Linked DNA regions of Sus scrofa. The protein of the gene in region 1 purifies or fractionates together with the protein of each later gene. This does not show direct contact. Links are inferred from orthologs where the notes say so. Each region holds a gene or a part of one and is shown in the gene's direction. Other genes may lie near its edges.

What was found.
Region 2: the proteins of PRKAG2 (region 1) and PRKAA2 purify together in Homo sapiens (affinity purification with mass spectrometry; 5 studies listed by BioGRID and IntAct, counting the BioPlex papers as one, with this or other methods). This does not show direct contact. The link is inferred for Sus scrofa from reciprocal best matches to the Homo sapiens genes PRKAG2 and PRKAA2.
Region 3: the proteins of PRKAG2 (region 1) and PRKAA1 purify together in Homo sapiens (affinity purification with mass spectrometry; 8 studies listed by BioGRID and IntAct, counting the BioPlex papers as one, with this or other methods). This does not show direct contact. The link is inferred for Sus scrofa from reciprocal best matches to the Homo sapiens genes PRKAG2 and PRKAA1.

What each region holds. Positions count from the first base shown.
Region 1 is NC_010460.4:5,556,163-5,563,590, forward strand, and holds part of PRKAG2 (5'-AMP-activated protein kinase subunit gamma-2), read left to right. Parts: intron 1-1,132; coding exon 1,133-1,204; intron 1,205-3,531; coding exon 3,532-3,811; coding exon of another isoform or gene 3,812-3,837; intron 3,838-7,428. UniProt on the Homo sapiens protein: AMP/ATP-binding subunit of AMP-activated protein kinase (AMPK), an energy sensor protein kinase that plays a key role in regulating cellular energy metabolism.
Region 2 is NC_010448.4:155,687,373-155,694,028, reverse strand, and holds the end of PRKAA2 (5'-AMP-activated protein kinase catalytic subunit alpha-2), read left to right. Parts: intron 1-1,206; coding exon 1,207-1,333; exon of another isoform or gene 1,334-1,421; intron 1,422-3,065; coding exon 3,066-3,304; 3' UTR 3,305-3,739; downstream 3,740-6,656. UniProt on the Homo sapiens protein: Catalytic subunit of AMP-activated protein kinase (AMPK), an energy sensor protein kinase that plays a key role in regulating cellular energy metabolism.
Region 3 is NC_010458.4:25,760,565-25,767,992, reverse strand, and holds part of PRKAA1 (5'-AMP-activated protein kinase catalytic subunit alpha-1), read left to right. Parts: intron 1-3,085; coding exon 3,086-3,227; intron 3,228-4,856; coding exon 4,857-4,950; intron 4,951-7,428. UniProt on the Homo sapiens protein: Catalytic subunit of AMP-activated protein kinase (AMPK), an energy sensor protein kinase that plays a key role in regulating cellular energy metabolism.

The sequences.
Region 1 (7,428 bases):
TTAGGGGGACACCGTTCGACCTGTAACACCCGTGTTCATTGCAGCTTTATTCACAAGAGCCAAGAGGCGGAAGTAACCCAATGCCTCTTGATGGATGAATAGTGAAACAACATGTGGTATCCATACATTATTCAGCCTTTAAAAGGAAGGACATCCTGACACAAGCTACAGCACAGGCAGACTTGGGGACATTATACTCAGTGAAATAAGCCAGTGACAAAAAGGTGAATACCGTATGATTCCACTTACACGCGGTCTCAAGAATCGAGCCGTTTATAGAGACAGAAGGTAGAATGGCGGGGGTGGGGGGGGTGCCAGGGGCTGGGGAGGGTCTGGGGCATCATTGTCGAATGAGGGTAGAGTTTCACTTTGCAAATTGGAGATGCCCCCCCTCGGGGGGGGGGGGTTGGTTATGTAAATGTGCTTCACGCCCCTGAAGTGTCCCTGTGGAGTGGTTACAGTGGCAAAGCTTGGGTGATGTGTATTTCACCACAGTTAAAAAAGGGAGAAGGGGCGATTGGGGCGCGGGCCAGTTCTTGCAGTGGAGGGCCACCCGCTGGGGGCTCTGCCTGGGGCGTGGGTGTCCCCCGGGCAAGACCCAGGAGGCAGGGGAGCTCGGAGGGTGACACTTGACTTTGTGTTAGAGCTTGTAGGGAACTACTGCCCCGAGGCCATTTCTCTGGGCCACAGTGTCATCAGGCTTCGCTGACCACTGTCCCCGTCGCCAGCCCCCCACGGCCCCGTCTCCTTCCTGGGGCCACACCCGTCTTGGCTGGGTTCCTGTCGTGAGATGAGGTTGCGCCCATCGCCCCCAGAGCGTGCCGTGCGTTTGATCCTCTCTCTTGCTCCCCACGACTTCCCTCGCTCGCTCTCCCTACCCACCTGGGGTCCCTGCGTGGCAGGAGGTGGCGGCTTTGCATCCTGGAAGGGGAGGTGGGGTGGTCAGGCTCTCGGAGGGGGGCCAGCACGTCCCCACCCCCTCGTTTTACTTGGTGGCCCTCCGCGCCCCTCCCTGTGAGTAATTTTCCAGGCGGACTCAGGAAGGGGTTTAGAGCCACATGCGGCCCCACATGAGGCCAGGTGGGCACCTGAGGGCCAAGGTTATGGACCCCATGCTCTGTTTCCGTCCTAGGACCTGAGTTCCTTTGCCATGCCGCTCCTGGATGGAGACCTGGAGAGTTCAGAAAAGCATTCTTCTCGCAAGGTAAGGCCACCGTCCTCACGGCTTGTCACAGCTCACCTGAGATGCTACTGAGGCAGCACTCCCTCGGTGCAACCCCCAAACCCATTCCCACCTGTATGTCCACCTGTGCTCCCCCTGATGCTCTCATCTGTACATCCACTGCTCCCACCTGTGCTCTTACCTATGCTCCCCTCTGCTGCTGCTGTGCTCTCACCTGTGCTCCCACCTGTATATCCACTGCTCCCACCTGTGCCCTCACCTGTGCTCCCACCTACATGTCTATGCACCTGTGTTCCCATCTGTACATCCACTGCTGCCACCTGTGCTCCCACCTCTACATCTGCTGCTCCCACCTGTGCTCTCACCTGCATGTCCACATGTGCTCCCACCTTCTCCCCACGGGCCCCCTTTCCTTCTGCCCCGTTCTGCCCCCGCCCTCTCCACCCTCAGCCCATCCAATGTCCTTCTCTCCCTTTTGTCTTTTCCACTGTCCTGTCCTCTCTTTAGCCCACAGTCTTTCCTCTCACGATGGTCAGTTTTTTCTCTGCAAGGAAGCCAACAGGTTGGGGTGACCAGGTTGGGGCGTGGAGGGCTGGCCAGATAGTATGAGCACCTACTGTGTGCCAGGCGCTTCCCCGCTAGTCCATTCTATCTCTTCGAGGCCCTGCAAGTTAGCCTAGTGTCCCCATCGCATAGATGAGGACACTGATGCTGAAGTCCCGCCCCACTGCCAGAAACCATGTGCGGATTGAAACCACGCTGGGAGTTTGAAGTCCCTGCTGTGGGGTCACCTCCATCCCGGGCCTGCTGTTCCCCCGCCCCACCCCACGTCCACACGCACACGCCACCCACTGCTTCAGAAGCTTCTCTGTGGTAATTATTCTTAGGATTTGCAAACGCTTTAGAAAGGTTGAATCCCACGGGTGGGTGGATAGTGACTGAACCCAATGCTCCAGAGACAGAATCTAAATGCTTTTTGTATCGAAGCCTTGCAAAAACTTGACCTTCTGCCTAAGGAGGAGAGCTGGAGTTACAGGGCTCTGGTAGAGCTCGGCCAGCCTGTCTCAGAAGCCCCCTGGGCGAGGGGATTTGCATGGAGCCAGCTTCTGTGCCTCCACACCCCTGCCACGGGCACCCCCACCCCTGCAGTGGCCACACTGGGTCCAGGGTCCCTGATGCGGCTCTCCTGCCAGGCATCACTTCTCGGCTCATGGCGCCCTCTAGTGGTGGGAAAGCTCACAGGGTCCTGGGCCCCGCAGGCGCCCACGTGGACACACAGGGGCGCCTCTGGATCTGTGCTTTCGCCACCTGCTCAGCGCCCCCGAGGTCCCAGCCGTGTGGAGCCCAGGCCCTCCTGCCAGGCCTCGTCCTTGCCCCAGAGCCCAGTGGACAAGTTGCTTTTCTTTCCTGCCACAGAGCTGGGAGGCCCTGAGGCCCTTGGGCTCCTGAGCTGCAGGGTTACCGATAAGACGACAGCAGTTTAACATACAGAGTGTGGGTCCTGCCTGTGCATCGGATCTGGGCCGCTGCCCCTTCAGACGGCCCTGAGCAGCGGGCACTCAGACGGGAGTATCACCTCCCACTCCCACCAGCAGGACACATTCCAGATTCCTTGAGCCCCCGAGCTGTGGGCCTTGGCTTACATACAGAGTCCAGTAATTTTTCAGACCACAGTCACAATTTCACGTCATCACCGGAGTGAGCCTCAGAGGTGTTCGGCCTCAACTTTCTCCCCGACCTCTGCCAGCAGCCCCAGTCCTTCCAAAGCCAGAGCAGCGGGGGATGAAAACCTCATCCCTTCCCCACCAGGGCACCTGAGGATGGAGCCCCAGGCTGCCTGCCTTTCAGATCATAGAGACTTGTGTGTGTGTGTGTGTGTGTTTCCAGCCACATCTGCAGCATATAGAAGTTCCCAGGCCAGGAGTTGAATTGGAGCTGCAGCTGCCGGCCTCCGTGTCAGCCACAGCAACGCGGGATCCGAGCTGCGACTTTGACCTACACCACAGCTCATGGCAACACTGGATCCTTAAGCCACTGGGTGGGGCCAGGGATCGAACCCACGTCCTTGTGGATACTAGTCGCGTTCATTACCGCTGAGCCGCGATGGGAACTCCAGATTGTAGAGACTTATGTTCCCCCCCTTTGAAGGGGGCGGGAGAATGTGATTCCAGTGCAGTCAGACCTCGAGAGGGACAAACACGCAGTCCCGAGACGTGAAAGCCTCGAGCCTGAGCCGCACAGAGGATAAGGGGGGGAGTTGCAGGGTGTCGTGGACCAGCAGCTCGGCGGTGGGGGACAGCGGGGGGCAGGCAGGCTAGTGACCTCCCCTGTCTGTCTGTCTCCTGCAGGTGGACAGCCCCTTCAGCTCGGGCAGCCCCTCCAAGGGCTTCTTCTCCAGAGGCCCCCAGCCCCGGCCCTCCAGCCCCGTGTCTGCTCCCGTGAGGCCCAAGACCAGCCCCGGCTCCCCCAAAACCGTGTTCCCGTTCTCCTACCAGGAGTCCCCGCCGCGCTCCCCGCGCCGCATGAGCTTCAGCGGGATCTTCCGCTCCTCGTCCAAAGAATCCTCCCCCAGCTCCAACCCGTCCACCTCGCCCGGGGGCATCAAGCTCTTCTCCCGCTCCAGAAAAAGTAAGACATTGATGCTATTGTTTCAGGTGGGTGCAGGGCTTCCGGGGACCTTCTCAGCGCCACTCGGCTGCAGTGCCACCTGCGGGGGCACCCAGGCTGATCGGGTGACAGTCCGTGATGGGGGGAGGGCTTTGCGCCTGTGTCTGTCCCCCAAGAACAGACGGATCTCCAGAATATCACTTGCCACCGGGCGCTTTCTTCCTGCACGAATCCACCCGGTCTGGTGGGTATGGCGCGGCTGGTGGGGTTGGCATCCCGATACTCACCGGATGGCGTGTGAGGACAGCCACGCGGAGCGCCGGCCTCCAGCCTCCTCTGGAAAACAGTAGCGGGGTGCAGCTGAGGTTGAGTCCGGGGCCTGGTAGGGCTTGGGGCCTGGTGTTTGGGGGACTTGAGTGTACCCATGTCTGGCAGATTCTGGCTTTCCGTTTGAGGCCAGGGTAGCTGGGGTTGATTGGTTAGAGAAATGTGTGTTTAAGAGAGAGTGCTTTAGGCTCACGAGGATTTGTGATCCAAGGCTAAAACTATTCCCAGTCCAGCACTGTCAGTGGTGATTGGAAGCAGGCGAGGCCACCGGAAGGCGGGCGGAGTGGCTTTTCTCCTTTGCCGTGTCTTAGGGAAGCTCCCTCTTCCTGTGACTCTTGCTGGTGACACAGAAAGTTCCTATCCAGGAAGACAGCGATTTGGAAGACAGACTTGCTCTTAGGTGTCAGGGCTGGAGCGGGCCTCCTTCCTCGCCAGGCTGCGTTTGCAGCAAGACCTGTAGGCTGGAGCCGTCCTGAGCTTCAAGGCCAGCCCCGAGCTCCATTCCAGCCGCCGTGACTTGTCAGGAAAGGGTGGGCAACTGTTTTATTTTCTTAGTGCTTTGGGGTGTTGATCGTAGCACCCCTCAAGTCATCCCTGCCCCCACGACCAAACCTCCGCCCAAGCACCTAAAGGTCACATGACACGGTAGACAGGACAGGTGGCGCGCTGTGGGGAAGCATAAATATGAAGCCAGCTGGGGAGAAACAGTCTAGCACCCATGTCCGCACGCCCTGAGTTGCCTTGACCAGGATCGAAATTCTCAAACATTCCATCAAGCACCACCTCCAGGAGGAGGGGACGGCAGGCCAGACCTCCAGCAGGTGTCCTGGTTCTCCAGAGGTGGCGTCGTGCCTGCGTTGGTTACAATGGAGCTAGGTTGTGTTAATTCCTGGGGCAGCTATCGCAAAGTCCCCCAACTGGGTGGCTTAAACAACAGACGGTTCCAGCGGCCAGAAACCCAAATCAGGAAGTCAGCAGGGGAGTTCCTGCTGTGGCGCAGTGGGGGTTAAAAATCCAACTGCAATGGCTCAGGTCTCTGTGGAGGTGTAGGTTTGATCCCCTGCCTGGTGCAATGGGTTAAAGGATCCGGCGTTGCTGCAGCTGCAGCTTGGATTCAATCCGTGGCTTGGAAACATCCATATGCTGTAAATTCAGCCATAAGATTTTTTTAAAAAAGAAACAAAGAGGCCAGGGCCCCTCTGAAGGGTCTGGGCAGGAGCTGTTCCATGTCTTTGTCTCAGCTTCTGGTGTTGCCAGCAGTCCCTGGCATCCTTGGCTCCTGTCTGTGCTCCATCTGCGGGGTGGCCTTCTCTCCCCGTGAGTCCGTGTCTGTGTGCTTCTTGTCCTTTCCTTCTAAGGACAATGGCCACATTGGGTCAAGGCCCGCCCTGCTCCAGGACCTCCTCTTAATTCATTATTCCCACAATGACTCCGTTTCCAAATAAGGTCACAGTCTGGAAGGACGTGAATCTGGGGGGGGACATGACCCCACCCAGGACACAGGTTATGTAGGAGAAGCCAGAACCTGCGCTCGTGTTCTGGGGGAGGGGAAGCCTTGCGGGTGCTGGGGGGTCATGCTGTTAAGACTGGGCATTTCCGAAGGTGGAAAGGACCAGCCAAGGGATGGTGGGATGGTGGGATGCTGGGGCCTGGCAGGTGGGATGCTGCAGGTGCGATGCTGGGGTCTGGCAGGCAGGACGTTCAGCTCCCTGGAAGCAGGAGTCGGTGCTGCCCTTTTCCGTTCAGTGTCATCCAGGGCCATTCAGCGTGCTTGGCCAGAGAGCACCCAGCTGCAAAAGTGCGTCTCTTAAGAGGCTGTGTGGGAAGTGTGGCTTGTTGGGGCTCTTCTCCAGCGCCTGGCTGTAGCCAGGGTGCAGGTGGGCTGTGGAGTGGTGCGGGCTGCTCGGAAAAACACGCACTGATGAGGTTTGGTGGGTGCTTGGCTTCTCCAGAGAAGCTCTCTGGGAGGGGGTGTTCCGACCAGGACAGGTCCAGACCCAGGACCGCGGCCTGTGCTGTTGGCCTTGAACCGTCCTGGTCCAGGCAGAGCCCTGCTTCATGGGGAGGAACTTCAGTCGTGCCTGGTGTGGGGCTGGCGTCGGGGGGCGTACCGTCTATCTGCTCTTCCTCCTGCCCGATTCTACTCCTGAGTCAAGGTGCCTGGACTATAGACCACTCCCACTGCCCCAGAAGTGGTTTCACAAAATTGAGCCGGAAGGTAACGCCATCAGCCTTATGGAGGGTCTTGGTAAGAAGCATCGCAGGCAGAGTTCCCGTTGTGGCACAGAGGAAACGAATCCCACTAGGAACCATGAGGTTGCGGGTTCGATCCCTGGGCTTACCCATTAGGTTAAGGATCTGGCGTTGCCGTGAGCTGTGGTGTGAGTCACAGATGCAGCTTGGATCCTGCATTGCTGTGGCTGTGGTGTAGGCTGGCAGCTACAGCTCCTCCAATTTGACCCCTAGCCTGGGAACCTCCATATGCCGGGGGTACAGCCCTAAAAAGCAAAAAAAAAAAAAAAAAAAAAAAGAAGCCTCGCAGGAAACCCGCAGTCTCCACTTGAAGGATGTCCTGAGGACACGGATCCTTACACGAGACCCCTGGGAGAAACTTCCTGTCTCGGTACCAAGAATCGCTGTGCTTCTGAGCAGCTGGACTGCTCTGCCTGTAACGGTCATCAGTCGTGTTCCCTGTCTGCCTTGCCTGCTGGAAATCTGAGACCCACACTTGCACAGGAGGCCTTAAGGGGTGCATTTCTAGCCTGACTTCTGACTCCATCCTTTGGTCCCCCTCCCCACTTTTTTTTTCTGTCTTTTTAGGGCTGCTCCTGTGGCATATGGAGGTTCCCAGGCTAGGGGTTGAATTGGAGCTGTAGCCACTGGCCTACACCACAGCCACAGCAATACCAGAACAGAGCCACATCTGTGACCTACACCACAGCTCACGGCAATAGCACATCCTTAACCCACTGAGCAAGGCCAGGGATTGAACCCGCGTCCTCATGGATACTAGTTGGGTTCGTTTCCACTGTGCCACGAGGGGAACTCCCCCACTTAAAAAAAAAAAAAAAAAAAAAGCAAGGGAGTTTAGTGGCAGGATTTGGGTGCATTTGTAGCATTCAAAGAAGAACTGAATGCTCAGGCCTCAGAAAGGGAAGGACCCAGGCTGGTTCTGGGGGTCTCGGCAGCAGGAAGTCATGGATCTTTCTGTGAGATCCAGAGAATGCCTAGTCTTTGGGTCTCAACCCTTGCCATCTCACACTTCTCGTTGCAGGATAGCTGATAAGCCCGTTTAGGGTCCCTGAGCCAAT
Region 2 (6,656 bases), on another chromosome or scaffold:
AAACCCCATTCTTTCTAGTAATGTACCATGTACACTCAAAACAAAATAAATCTTTGTAAAGATTAAGAACCGTTGATGTTGGGGACCTATATATTTTTGAATTATAGAATAGCATTCTTGGCCAAGAAAGAGTTTTAATAAACTTGAAATTTCTTGAGAAAATAGCTTACCTGTTTCAGCATGCATCAGAAAAAAAGTCATGTGTCTTCAAAGATAGTATGTTTTTACTTTCTCTTTTTTTCTTTTTGTTAATAGCTGTAGCAACAAGTGGTTCGTACAAATTATACCATCAGGATATATTTATTGAGTTGACAAATACTTTTCTGTAAGTTGAGAAAGCCTGTCTTATTTGGCTAGTGCTTTTAGTCCTTAGTTGTGATATATTTTTTTTTCAGTCCACATTTTACTTTTTTATTAGTGCTCAAATGCATTTCAATTCTATTTGAGTATATGGGGGGCAGTTTTTCCTTTTCAGGTATCTTTTATTTTCGTTCCTTTCTTGAGGACTGGAATGTATTTTTAACAGAAGAAAAATGTTCAAACATACCATGTACATATTCACTTGACATATTTTTATTTCGTTATTTGTACATGGAATGAATAAACAAAATCATATTTCCTTAAAACCATTTAAAAAGCAGATCTCCCTTTTCTGAAATGGTTTTATTTAGTTAGTTTAAAAATAGATGTTAATGTCTTAAAATTCCTTACTGAAAACATTTTGTAAATAATTTGATGTTTTGAAAAAGCAGAATCTTTATCTGAGTTGCTGTTTTATTATCTTCAAAAGAAAATATCTTCCTTGCAAGATTACTATGATACTTCAATTTTGTGACAGTACCTGTTACTGTGCCAGGTTTAAACCATTAACATGTTAGGTCTCTGTCTAGCTTATAGTCCTAGTAAAGGTATCCAAGTTGAGAATGGGCAACGAAGATTATTTAGAGTAGAGGCACATCTGGAAAGAATGCTGGACTCCATATAATCTCTGCATTCCCTTTAAATTTTAATTGCTGTATATAGTACTGTTGGTAGGGATTAAATACTAAACTACTGTGTAATGTAAAAGAAAAAAGATAATTCAGGAATTCCATCTCTGCTCTACCTCTGTCAGTTACTTGTTTTAATATTATTCTTTTCAATAAGAATAAGGTATTTTGTAGTTTATTTTTAATGTTTTCCCTTAAAGAAAAATTTCCGTTTTAGGTAGTGAATGCATACCATCTACGTGTAAGAAGAAAAAATCCAGTGACTGGCAATTATGTGAAAATGAGCTTACAGTTGTACCTGGTTGACAATAGAAGCTATCTTTTGGACTTTAAAAGCATTGATGGTAAGGAAGCCACGCAGGCATGAACTCTGAGAAGATAAAACTTGGCACTAGTTGACAAGATGTTAAAACCATCTCAAAGACATGGTGGGTAGGTCTTCTGTACTGGTTTTTAAGTAACCTAGATTTAACTAAAAGTGTAAGTGAAGCGAAAAGGATCGAAGACATGTGGAAAATCTCTAATCCATCACCTCTCCAAAAGACGTGCTTCCTTGGTATTAAAAAGTCATTTGAAGTGTTGGCTGTAGAGAAAAGGAAGGAACAATTAAGGAAGCAATTTTACCTAAAGTAAGCTGACGTTAGGTTCTTGTCACATTTCCCCAGTCATATTTTACCATTAAGCATTATAATATCTAAACTTCATCTGTTTCTTTCATCTTGGGTGGCCAAGGTATCCTGTATGGCCTCCCCCAGGATTTGGGTTGGGTTTTGATGCCCATGGTTTGGTGCCCCTGACCGGCGAAAGAGTCAGGGAGGTGGTCATGTCCTAGTGTGTGCCAAGAGTCAGACTCGGCTGGTCAGTGTGTGTATTCCACTCAGAGGTCCAAGTGGGATACAAGCAGAATGAACCAAGTGTCCACTGCTGGATGGAACCAGAGGAAAACTGAGTTCTTCAGATTTGGAACTTTATTCTTGGAGTTCCCGTCGTGGCTCAGCAAAAACAAATCTGACTAGTATCCATGAGGATGAGGGTTTGATCCCTGGCCTCGCTGTGTGGGTTAAGGATCCATCGTTGCCATGAGCTGTGCTGTAGGTCACAGATACAGCACAGATCTTGCAGCCGGCAGCTGCATCTCCAATTCAACCCCTAGCCTGGGAACCTCCATATGTTGTGGCCCTAAGAAGACAAAAATCAATCAATTAATAAAATAAATGTTATCCTTGAACTGTCCTCAACTCTAGCTGTGTTTATATGGTCCCCAGATTATCTTCATTGAAAGCACCCAGAGGTCGTCTTAAACTGCAGATTCTTAGGAACTATCTCAGACCTAGCAAATCAATCTCTAGAGATGGGTTCTGGGAAACTGGGAATCTGCATTTTCAAAAATTTCCCTTGCCCGTTGCTGTGGGCAGTTACAGTGCTCTGAAGGATCAGAACCACTCTGCAATGGTAACTTTTGTTTTTATCCTAGTGATTTTTTTTTTTTTTTTTTTTTTGGTGAAATGCTGCAAGAAAATAATCCTCCAAAGGCATGCTTTCTTCAGATGGAAGGGATATTGGTTTCATTTCAAGGTTACTGTCAAATACTATATTAAAGAGGTTTTAGAAGTAATATTTTGGAGTTCCCATCGTGGCTCAGTGGTTAATGAACCCGACTAACATCCACGAGGATGCGGGTTCCATCCCTGGCCTCGCTCAGTGGGTTAAGGATCTGGCGTTGCCATGAGCTGTGGTGTAGCTTGCAGACGAGGCGATCTGGCGTTGCTGTGGCTGTGGTGTAGGCAGGCAGCTGCAGTTCTGATTTGACCTCTAGCCTGGGAACCTCCATATGCTGCAGGTGCAGCCCTAAAAAAAGTCATGTTTTGACTGTATAGAAGTGTTGTGATTGATTAGTGATGTCTGTTACGATTGAGGGAGGGAGGAGCTGTTCCTAAAACACTGAAACATGACATTGCTTGTTAGGTTGTCCTTGCTCAGATGTGTTTACTTAATATTCTGAATACAGTGTCTTCAGAGGAAGAGCTTGGACAAGTATACCTTTCATGTAAATTGCTCTTCTTTGGTCCATTTCAGATGAGGTGCTGGAGCAGAGGTCTGGTTCCTCAACACCTCAGCGGTCCTGCTCTGCTGCTGGCTTGCACAGACCGCGGTCAAGCTTGGATTCTGTCACTGCGGAGAGCCACTCACTCTCTGGCTCTCTCTCTGGCTCCTTGACCGGAAGCATGCTGCCTTCAGTTCCACCTCGCCTGGGCAGTCACACCATGGATTTTTTCGAAATGTGTGCCAGTCTGATCACTACTTTAGCCCGTTGATAATCTTTCCCTAGTTTCTATCTTCTGTTATTGCACTGTGAAAATGAGATATATTCTTTAAATTATTGTTTTACCTATTGAAATCACATACTCTGCAGTAGTGGTTGAGAGACGTAACTATCTCCAGAGGACACTCAATACCTTTGAAATGACTGAAAACAAATCTGACGTTTTATTTACTGTAGACATCTGTAATTCTGTTTTGCCTACGATAAAAATCACATAGGCGGTGTCTTTACTAGGTGAACATCGACGAAGATTGTTGTTCATCTAAAACCGTGGATTCACTGCAGATGATTAAGACATCGTTACTGGTGAACCATCAACGAAGAGTCGCTTGGCATCACCTTCTTGCTTTACTGTGTAGTGTAGGTGAATCCAGTTTGCTTCCTAAATTTCGGCAGGCTTTACGCTGTGTTTATGCCCAAGAAGTTTAAAAAAAAAAAAAAAACCGCAATATTGGTAAGGTAGTATTTAAATGTTGAAATCTTAAATGTCAGCCTCCAAAATTTCAAAAACCAAGTTCTTGTAGAAGTTTTCGCAAATGTTGCCCAGTGTTCAGCAGAAGGGCTGTGGTCCCGAAACAGGTAACCATGATTTCTAAGTTCTTAAAAACAGCTGTAACTAGAGGTTTTATCTTGAGATGTCCCTGAATAATGTACTAAAGATTTGCCTTTAAAGTTCTTCTCAGTACTGGAACATCTGGAATTGCAGCAACTTTTGTCTTTTTCATAAACTTATTTTACGACATGCCTTCAAAATCTATCTTTCTCAAATATTTTTTAGCTCTATTTGTTTTTATACTTCACCAAGCATGATTTGACAGTTAAATGAAACAAAGCAAAATGTCGGTAGTCCCTGTAAAGAGAACTCTTACCTTTGATCTTTAACTGTGTGTAAGGAGTGTGTGTGCCCCGCTGAATCCCGTGATGCTGGTTTTTCATCTGAATTTGGTTGTTGTGGTCCCTCACCTTCCTGGTTGCCTTTGTGTTTAATGTTTCATCTTTAGTGGCCGACTGACTTAGCTTTAAAATCTTTTCTGGTTCTCTTTCTTTGTTCTGTATCTTGGTTGCTAGCCATCCAGTTTGAAAACACTGTTCTGGCCCTAAGGGCTTTTGTGTATTTCCAAAGCTCGGTAGGCTGTGACCTGCACTGTTGAACTTGTTAGGGCAGCGAAACCTTAAACATTCAAAGAATTTTCTCTTGAATAAATATATGTGTTGTTTACACATATACATATATGTATTCGCACATCAGTGCTTTTAAAGGAAAACCAAACTTTTGCTTTTGCTTTGTGCAGGGTTTTTGGTTTTTTAAGGCTTTAAAAAATAACCCTACATACAGCAGGGTAGGTAACAGCCCATTGATTATATTTTGTTTTAATAAAAATATTTAATTTTAAAATCATGTATAATTTATCTAATTGTATTTATTCTTTTTTTTTTTGTTTAAAATGCTGTAATTAACAATATCATTCACCTGACTCACCCTAGAAAAGATTAAGCTCTTGAAAACAAAAAGTGACATTGCCTTGACTGGTTTCTCTTTGCCAAAAATAATGTGTTTTCTACCAAGAAGCAAATGAGAATGTTAGACCAAGTTTCTCCTGTAAAACAAATATGGCTGTTTTTAAATGAGTATTGAGTCAGGGGTTTGCATTGTGTCACATCATATTTTTTGAAGAACTTTTAAAAAATGATACAACTTTTATGTCCGACTTCTTAATAGCAAAGTACAAGGAATCCTTGTTTGCCAGTTTGGGAAAGAGGGTGGAGTTGTAGTTAATATGTTTTAAGTCTAAACCTTTGAAAGATTGCCATCTAGTGGCATCAAAGGATACTTTTTTGTGATTATTTTTATAGGGATAAGCAGTTCTGCTGCGTTAGTTTTGATGTGCATATAGATACGGCATAATTTTGGCCTCAACAAGTGTGTAAATACCTTTTGGGAAAAACAGGGCCACTTCATAATATTTGCCTATGAATGAGATGACCTTCAAAATAAGGAATTACTCTGAATCCTTATTCTCAGTGATAAAATCCCTAACAATTTTGAAGGCAGAGAAATAGCAAGAAGGAATCCAGTGGCATTTTAGCTTCTGTAATGAATCAGATATTAGAAACTTATATCAAAATTTCTTTATATGGATGATTATGTTTTTTAAGAGTTAAAAAATTATTTACTATTTTCTCATTTGTGCCAGTATTTATAAATATCTATATTTTGATAGTTATCTCTTGAATTTTAGGAGAACCAAGGCTCATAGTTTGGTTCTTGTGTGCTTACGTTTTTAAAGCACAGTTATTTTGTGAATATAGATGGTTTAGTACATTGGTTTTTAGAGAGAAGATTATAGGAGGCTCAGCCCACCATAAGGGGGCTAGAGCATTTTCCTAGGAGGTTCTTTGCTGCTCGTGGGCAGAGAGAGGAAGAGAATCAGCTGCTAAGTTCTCGCGTTTTAGTCTTGTAAACTGGTTAGTTGTGGACGTGGTATGGATGTGGTATGTATGTGGTAGACCTGGGATAGGAACAATTTCTCCTGTTAAGATTCTGGAGGAGAGCTGCTATTATTAGGCTGTGAAGTCTTAGCTATACTGTGGAAATGGAATCTGTAATGGTTCTAGAATAGCATTTTCCAAACTATTCTTTGAGATGCTCTGCAGAAGAGAAATTTAATTGAGCGAGTTGGGAAAATGATACTTTCCCACTTGAGGATGACCAAGGATGCGAACATTAAAGACTTTTGCCAGTCCTTTTGTGAAAAAAAAAAAAATTAACTTTGTTTAATCTTGCTTTGCCCACATTAATTTAATCATCATTTTAAACTTACTATTCCCTGGGAGAAAGCATATTTGGAAAAGTACTATTTTAGGAAAATTATTGTATCAGGTTGCCATAATTAGGGTAATTAAGTATAAAATTAAAGTTTATTTTCTCTTATCTCTTGTTGGAAAGAGTCTGGTTCAAAACCAGAATCATTTCATTTAAACCTGTAGATGTATTTATTCATCTTAAGCAAATGCTGGTCTGCTAGAATTTTGTATGTCTGCAACTTGTTTCATAGCATCTTCATTTTCTTAATCAGGTTGTGGTATTTTGGGGGATCAAAATTCTTTTTTGCGTTGAATGGATAACTGAAAAACCTTAAAATTACTTTTAACATTGTCTAAGAGACTACTGACTAATGCTTATGGCTCTATGGATAATGAGTCATTATCACTGATTCTTTCAAAAAGTGTAGTCAGTGAACATTTTCTATATATTTTTATATAGGACACCATATTTCTGTCTAATTCCTGTTATTCTTCAAAGTAGGAACAAACAGCTTCCCAAATTAACTATCTGGAAGGGA
Region 3 (7,428 bases), on another chromosome or scaffold:
ATACACACACACACACACTGTGCTGCACAGTGTATTCTTTTAGCTTATTCATATATATATATATTTTTTTTCAGATTCTTTTGCATTATAGGTTATCTATTTTATATATAGTGGTGTGTATTTGTCAATCCCATACTCCTGATTTATCCCTCACCATCCTTCCTCTTTTGGTGACCATAAATTTGTTTTCAGTGTCTGTGAATCCCTTTCTGTTTTGTAAATATGTTCATTTTTATTTTTTTTTAGATTGTATATATAAGTGATATCATATGATATTTGTCTTTCTCTCTGACTGACTTCCGTTAGTATGATAATCTCTAGCTCCCTCCATGTTGCTGCAGATGGCATTATTTCATTCTTTTTTATGGCTGAGCAGTACTCCATTGTATATGTGTATGTACCAAGTTTTCTTTATCCATTCCTCTGTTGATGGACATGCAGATTACTTCCATGTCTTGGCTGTTGTAGTGTTGCAGTAAACACTAGGGTGCACATATCTAGTTAGAGTTTTTGTCTCTTTCAGATATATATGCCCAGGAGTAAAATTGCTAAATCATATGATAACTCTGTTTTTAGTTTTCTAAGGAACCTCCATAGTGGCTGCAGCAATTTACAGTCCCACCAACAGTGTAGGAGGGTCTCCTTTTCTCCATATCCTCTCCAGCATTTATTATTTGTAGACAGTTTGATGGTGGCCATTCTGACCAGTATGGGGTTATGTCTCATTGTACTTTTGATTTGCATTTCTCTAATAATTAGAAATGTTGAGCACTTTTTATGTACCTGTTGGCCATCTGTGTCTTCTTTGGAGAAAAGTGTATTTAGGTCTTCAGCCCATTTTTTGATTGGGTTTTTGTTTAGATATTGAGAAAGCTGTTTATATGCTTTGGAAATTAACCCCTTGTTGGTTGCATCATTTGCAAATGTCTTCTCCCTGGCCATAGGTTATCCTTTTGTTTTGTGGTTTTCCTTTTGTGCAAAAGCTTTTAAATTTGATTAGGTCCCATTTTGTCTTTTGTCTTTTTTTTTGTTGTTGTTGTTGTTATTGTTGCTATTTCTTGGGCCGCTCCCAGGGCATATGGAGGTTCCCAGGCTAGGGGTTGAATCGGAGCTGTAGCCACCGGCCTACGCCAGAGCCACAGCAACGCGGGATCCGAGCTGTGTCTGCAACCTACACCACAGCTCATGGCAACGCCGGATCGTTAACCCACTGAGCAAGGGCAGGGATCGAACCCGCAACCTCATGGTTCCTAGTCGGATTCGTTAACCACTGCGCCACGACGGGAACTCCCCATTTGTTTATTTTTGCTTTTATTTCTTTTGCCTTGAGAAACCAATCTAAGAAAATATTGCTGCGATTTATGTCAGAATATTTTGCCTATGTAATTTTCTAGGGAGTTTTATGGTGTTCTGTTTTATATTTAAGTCTTTTAGCCATTTTGAGTTTATTTTTGTGTATGGTGTGAGGGAGTGTTCGAACTTCATTGATTTACATGAGGCTATCCAGTTTTCTCAACACCACTTGCTGAGGAGACTGTCCGACTTACGATGTACTTCAGTAAGCATAATACCCTCCATGTCCAGGATATTAGTTCTTTTATACCTTTTCCTCTACACTCTCATTCTTCTACTGTAATTAGGTCATACTTTTAAAAAAATTTGTATTTGGTGTTTTCATAATTGTGACTGTATAAAAACTATTTGCTAAGCCAATACTATGACTATCTTTTCTTTCTTTTTTTTTTTTTGTCCTTTTAGAGCCACACCCACAGCATATGTAGGTTCCCAGGCTAGGAGTGTAACTGGAGCTGGAGCTGCCTGCCTACACCACAGCCACAGCAATGCCAGATCCAAGCCGCATTTGTGACCTACACCACAGCTCATGGCAACGCTGGATCCTGAACCCACTGATCGAGGCCAGGGATCAAACCTGCATCCTCATGAGTACTAGTCAGATTCGTTTCTGCTGAGCCATGACAGGAACTCCCCTATGAATATATTTTCTTATAGAACATTTAATTTTTATCTATTCCACACCTATCCACTCCCTACCCACCTCCTGGGAAATAACCATCCTGGTCCTCAATAATAATATTGGTCTGGATTTGTTGCCTTCTAGCCTTCTACATAGTTGTTACCTAGGATTTTCTTCATTACCGTACTGGGAGTTCTTTTTCCTCTATATTTATTTGATTCCATCTTTACTGACTGTCATCTTGATTTCCTTCCTGATTTTGATGGAATATATATTCTCCACCAGGTTCTTTTGTTTTTGTTTGTTTAACTTGTTTGTTTGGCTGTAGTGTGCAGCTGTGTGGTTTGCAATCTCAGTTCCCAGACCAGGAATTGAACCCGGGTCACAGCAGCAAAAGCATGGACTAGCCCATGGACCACTAGCCCATAGACCACTAGTTCACCAGGGAACTGCCTCTCCCCTAGATTCTTGAGAAAGGGTGATAGAAGCTAAATTTTTGGTGACTTTGCCTTTATAAAAAAAAAAATGTCTAAATTCTACTGTAACCATTGATTATCTGGTTATAGCATTCAAAATTGAAAGATAATCACTTAAATTTTTTTTTCTTATTTAATAACATAGAAGCTATGTGCTCATGATTCAAGTGATTATAGATAGAGGAAGTATGTTTAATATGAGGGAGTTTTTGGAATGATGGAACTATTCTGTATCTGATTGTAATGGTGGTTACACCAATGTCTACCTGGGTTAAAATCTCTAATACTGCATACCACAGAAAAAACTTCAATTTGCATGTTTGATAGATTAAAACATGAAAAGTAAATTAAGACGATTTCAAAGTACAGAAAGAGAGCAAAAAAGGAAGTCTCTTTTTCTCTCTCCCTTAGCCTTCCAGCTTTTCTTTCTGTAAGAGACCACTGTTACTAGTATTATTTTCCCACTTTCACTCTTAAACATCTAAACATTCAGGGATAAATCAGGCAGAATTGAAAGGAACTTGGAGTTGTTCAAGTATTTTCAGAGATTGCTAAGATTATTACTCTTGGAATAGTTCTATGTATGTTATTAATCAAACCTGGCACTAATTTATTAAAATTATTTCCCCTACAGTTGGCAAACATGAATTGACTGGTCATAAAGTTGCTGTGAAGATACTCAATCGACAGAAGATTCGAAGCCTTGATGTAGTAGGAAAAATCCGCAGAGAAATTCAGAACCTCAAGCTTTTCAGGCATCCTCATATAATTAAATTGTAAGATCTGATTATATTAAATGTACATGTTATTTCTCATTATTTTTGTTAACCTGCTTAATCTGACAAGTGAGAAAGATGAGTGACATTTCTTCAGTCTGTTCCTGAGGGTTTTAAAACTTCTTCCCATTTATGTATTTATCTAACCCCATTCACGGTCACTAAAGCCTATGTCCATGTTTTGCCCTTGTGCTTATCGGGTGTTATCTATCTTATTCTTTCTTGTCCTCTGGACTGATGCCCCTCTGATAGATCACCTGCAGCACCCCTATTGCTATAGCGCCAAGAATGATTTGCTAGTAAAAACTCTTGACCTCCAAATTTCCACATGTCAGCCTCACTAGAGACATTGCAGTAGAAAGGGCTCCCCTCCCCCTCTGCCCCCCCCACTGCTTATATCTGATAAAGCAAATAACAAATAATAGATTTCAGGAATTCAACATTTCAAAAGGTGGCAATACTATCATTGTTTTATAGTTGCCAATTGTAGGGTCTATAGGTAACTGTATACTGTTCAGCTTTATTATGCAGGCTGTGAATGAAAACCATTTAGACTTTTGTATTGAACTGGCTAACTCAGAATTTGTTTCATGCTCACCTCTTCTCATTTGTTGAGGTGCCATGTTTTAGGTACCATCCTTATGCTGGCGACCGTTAAATATACATCTCCTCTTTTGAAACTTGTTCCTTAATTCCCGACTCATATGTCCACAGCCTGTTTTACACCTCCATTGGGGTATGCACGAGGTACATGCCCAAAACTGAACTCTTTATTTCACCATCTCAGTTAATATCCTCAGGGCAGAAACTCAGGAACTATCCTTAACTTTCCTATCTCTCTCACTTCCTACCCTCCATTCCATCTCTTCCTTCAAAAATAAATCTAGTATCTGAGTGTTTGTCAGTTCCTTATGTCATCAACCCAGTGTGAGCCACCTTTATCTCTCTCTTGGACCACTGCAGTAGCCACCTACTACCACCTTACTGCCCCCAGTCAGTTCTTCACACTACTGCTGTAAACTAAAGTTACTCTTTTAATCAGCCAGATCACAGGACAACTTTGCTTAAAACCTTCAGTAGCTTTCTTTCTCCCATGGAATAAAAGCCAGAGCCTCATCATGGCTGTAAGGTCTTTGTAAGGTTTTCTGTTACCTCTTGGAGGCCACATCCTGTTTCTCTCTTCTTGCTCACTCTGTTCCAGCCTTCCTACCATTGCTCAAACCTGCCAGGCAGGTTTCCACCTGGGGGCCTTTGCACTTGCTGTTTCCTCTGCCGGGTTTACCGTCTTCCTAGATAATGGCAGAGTTAGTTTCCTCACTTCCAAGGCTCTGCTTAAGTGTTACTTCATCAGAGAGGCCTTCCTTGAACACCCTGTCTGAATGATTCCCTTTAGTTTGCTTTTCTCCTCTTCATAGCATGTTCCACCACCTGAGATATTGCCTTTTTACTTAGTGTCTGTTTCCTGGCTCCTGGAACACGAACTCCATGAGAGTAGAGAATTTATTTTGTTCCCTACAGTTTTCCCAGCTCCCGGCGCAATGCCTGGTGTATTGTAGGCACTCAGTAAATATTTATTGAATGAATGAATATACGTGTTTAATACTGGTAGACAATGTTTTCTCTCACCAGGTACCAGGTCATCAGTACACCATCTGATATTTTCATGGTGATGGAATATGTTTCAGGAGGCGAGCTATTTGATTATATCTGTAAAAATGGAAGGGTAAGCAGTTCTGATTTAATCCTATATATATTTTGTAACTTCCCTTATCCCTTACTAGCATCAAAAAATACCAGAAAGCAATTTTGTTAAGAGGTCTATTTAATAACCAGTTCCTTTATTCATATATTTGCCTAGAATCAGAGACTGTTTAGAGCTAGGAAGGATCTTAAATATTATCTCCGTACTACTTACACAGATATGGAATCTGAGACTGACAGTTTATATATTTGCTTAAGGTCACATAATTTATTGACGACAGAATTGGATTGAGATTCCAAAACTCATGATCTTCAGACTTAGCTTCTGGGGCACAAGGATAATTTTAATATATATCTAAAAGTAGGTATTTAGTCCTCACAAAATATGTTATTAAATACTTAAAGATCGAGGCCTTGCTAGTCAACCCTAGCCACATTTAAATTGCATTCATTTTTTGGTTTCAGAAATCTGGTGTACCTGGAATAGTCAGAACAGGTTCTGTGAAGGAGAAATTAGACTTAAAGAATTCAGAATTGGAAGGAACTTTAGAAGGCAGTTTTAACAGTATCTTAAGTTACAGATACCAAAACTGCACACTACCCCCCATCCATACTTTTTCTCAACTTGGGGTATGTAGTATGCAAAAACCTCTTTCCAGAAGAGCAGGTCGAGCATGGAGAAGCCAGTTTTTTTTCCCTCCCAATTTAGAGTTCTTATATCATTCATTCATTTGTTCTATATAGCACATCTGTTTACTTTCATCAAAATCATTAGCCAAGTTAATTTTAATTTTACCATTTTTTAACATGGTTCATTTCAATTTCAAGTGTTTTATCTGTCTTTTCAGTCCCCCTTCCTCCTCCAATCTCCCCAATGTTCTGCCCCAATGTTCTGCCTAGAGAAATGGGAACAGACATAAGTTGGATTGATATCTTGCTTTCTTATCATTTCTCTTCCTTTTTTCATGTCTTGATCATTTTGTTTTACGTTACGGATATTTCCCTCAATTTTGCCTCTTGCATATTAAAATTCCAGCTGTCATTTTTCTATTTCAAAGATCTCTTTCTTATTTTCTGAAATTGTCTTTCTCAAATTAGCCTATTTTTTTGTTCCATTGAGCAAATAAACTTATCTATATGAAGATGGCAATTAGTTTAAAAAAAAAAGTTTTCTTCTGTTCCCTACATTGCCTCTGTGCCTTCTGTGCTCCCTGCTCCCTGTTCTTCTGTTCATTTTATTGGTCTTTGTCTTTTGTACATGGCTCTTGCTCAGATGTCTGGTGATTCTGGGTTGTGGGCCCATATCTGAGAGTGAAATACTAAATGCAAAGCTCATGGTGGTAGAACTTATTGATTGGTGGGTCTTCCCATAAGTTGAATAGGTAGGGACCTGCCCATTTGATTAGAGAATGTCAATAATTACACATATTTTGGAATTTCCATTGTGGTGAAGTGGGTTAATAATCCAGCTTGTCTCGTGGCATTGCTGGTTCAATCCCCAGCCCAGCTCAATGGGTTAAGGAATATTAGCACTGCCACAGCTGTGGTGTAGGTCACAGATGCGACTGGGATTCAGTCCCTGGCCCTGGAATTTCCCCATGCCTTGGGTGCAGCCAAAAAAGGAGAAAATGTATAAATATTTAGCTGCTGTAGAAGAAACCTTCTAGTTTCCTTGTGGCTATTGGCTTAGCTGCCAGTGCCTCTGCGAGCTAAATGGGGAAAGGCTAGCAAGCCTCACTGGTTAGTATGTTGACTTTCAATGAATCCCCACAATTTCCTTCTTGTGCCTTGTTCCTACATTGGTGTCCTTAAGAACAGAGCTAGTTCAGCCTTACTAAGGAGTAAATCATGGGTCTTATTCCTCAGTAAGTATGAGCTTAAAATGTCTTTCTTCAACCAGTTGTCCTGTTGTCAGCTCACTTCTCATTTCTACCTTCAGCCCAACACCTTCAATATCTAAGCCCTTTCAGGGGTCTGTGTGCAGCTGAGCTTATCACTGATTTCCACCCCTAAAGGCTTAGGAGGTTCAGCTTCCTGTGGTTGGCCAGCACAGCACTGTTCATCTTCTGTCTAGCTTAGTGACTCCTCTTGATTAGTGCTGTCTCTTCTCTTGCTCTTTTGTCTTTATATGCTATCATTTTAGTGATGTTTCAAAAAGTGGAGACCAAAGGTTCCATCTGCCATGTTTAAATGGAAATATGCTTTGACTTTTCTAATCTTTCTTTGTAGACTTCCCTGCCTTGATCTCTGTCCCGTATTTATTATTAATATAGTATAATTTTGATTTTTATATTTTGTTTAATCAGATTTTCTTCTCTTTGACATTTAGAACAGATTTTTTTCCCATTTAGTATATTTGACATGAAGTTGTATTAAAAAATGAACCTAGAAATAAAGGCATTAGATTCCTCTGGAGGAAGGGTGTCTCTTAGTACTTTGATAATTTTACTTATACTTTCAAAAGAAATGACTGTTTTCATCTTCCAGATTTTCAACGCCA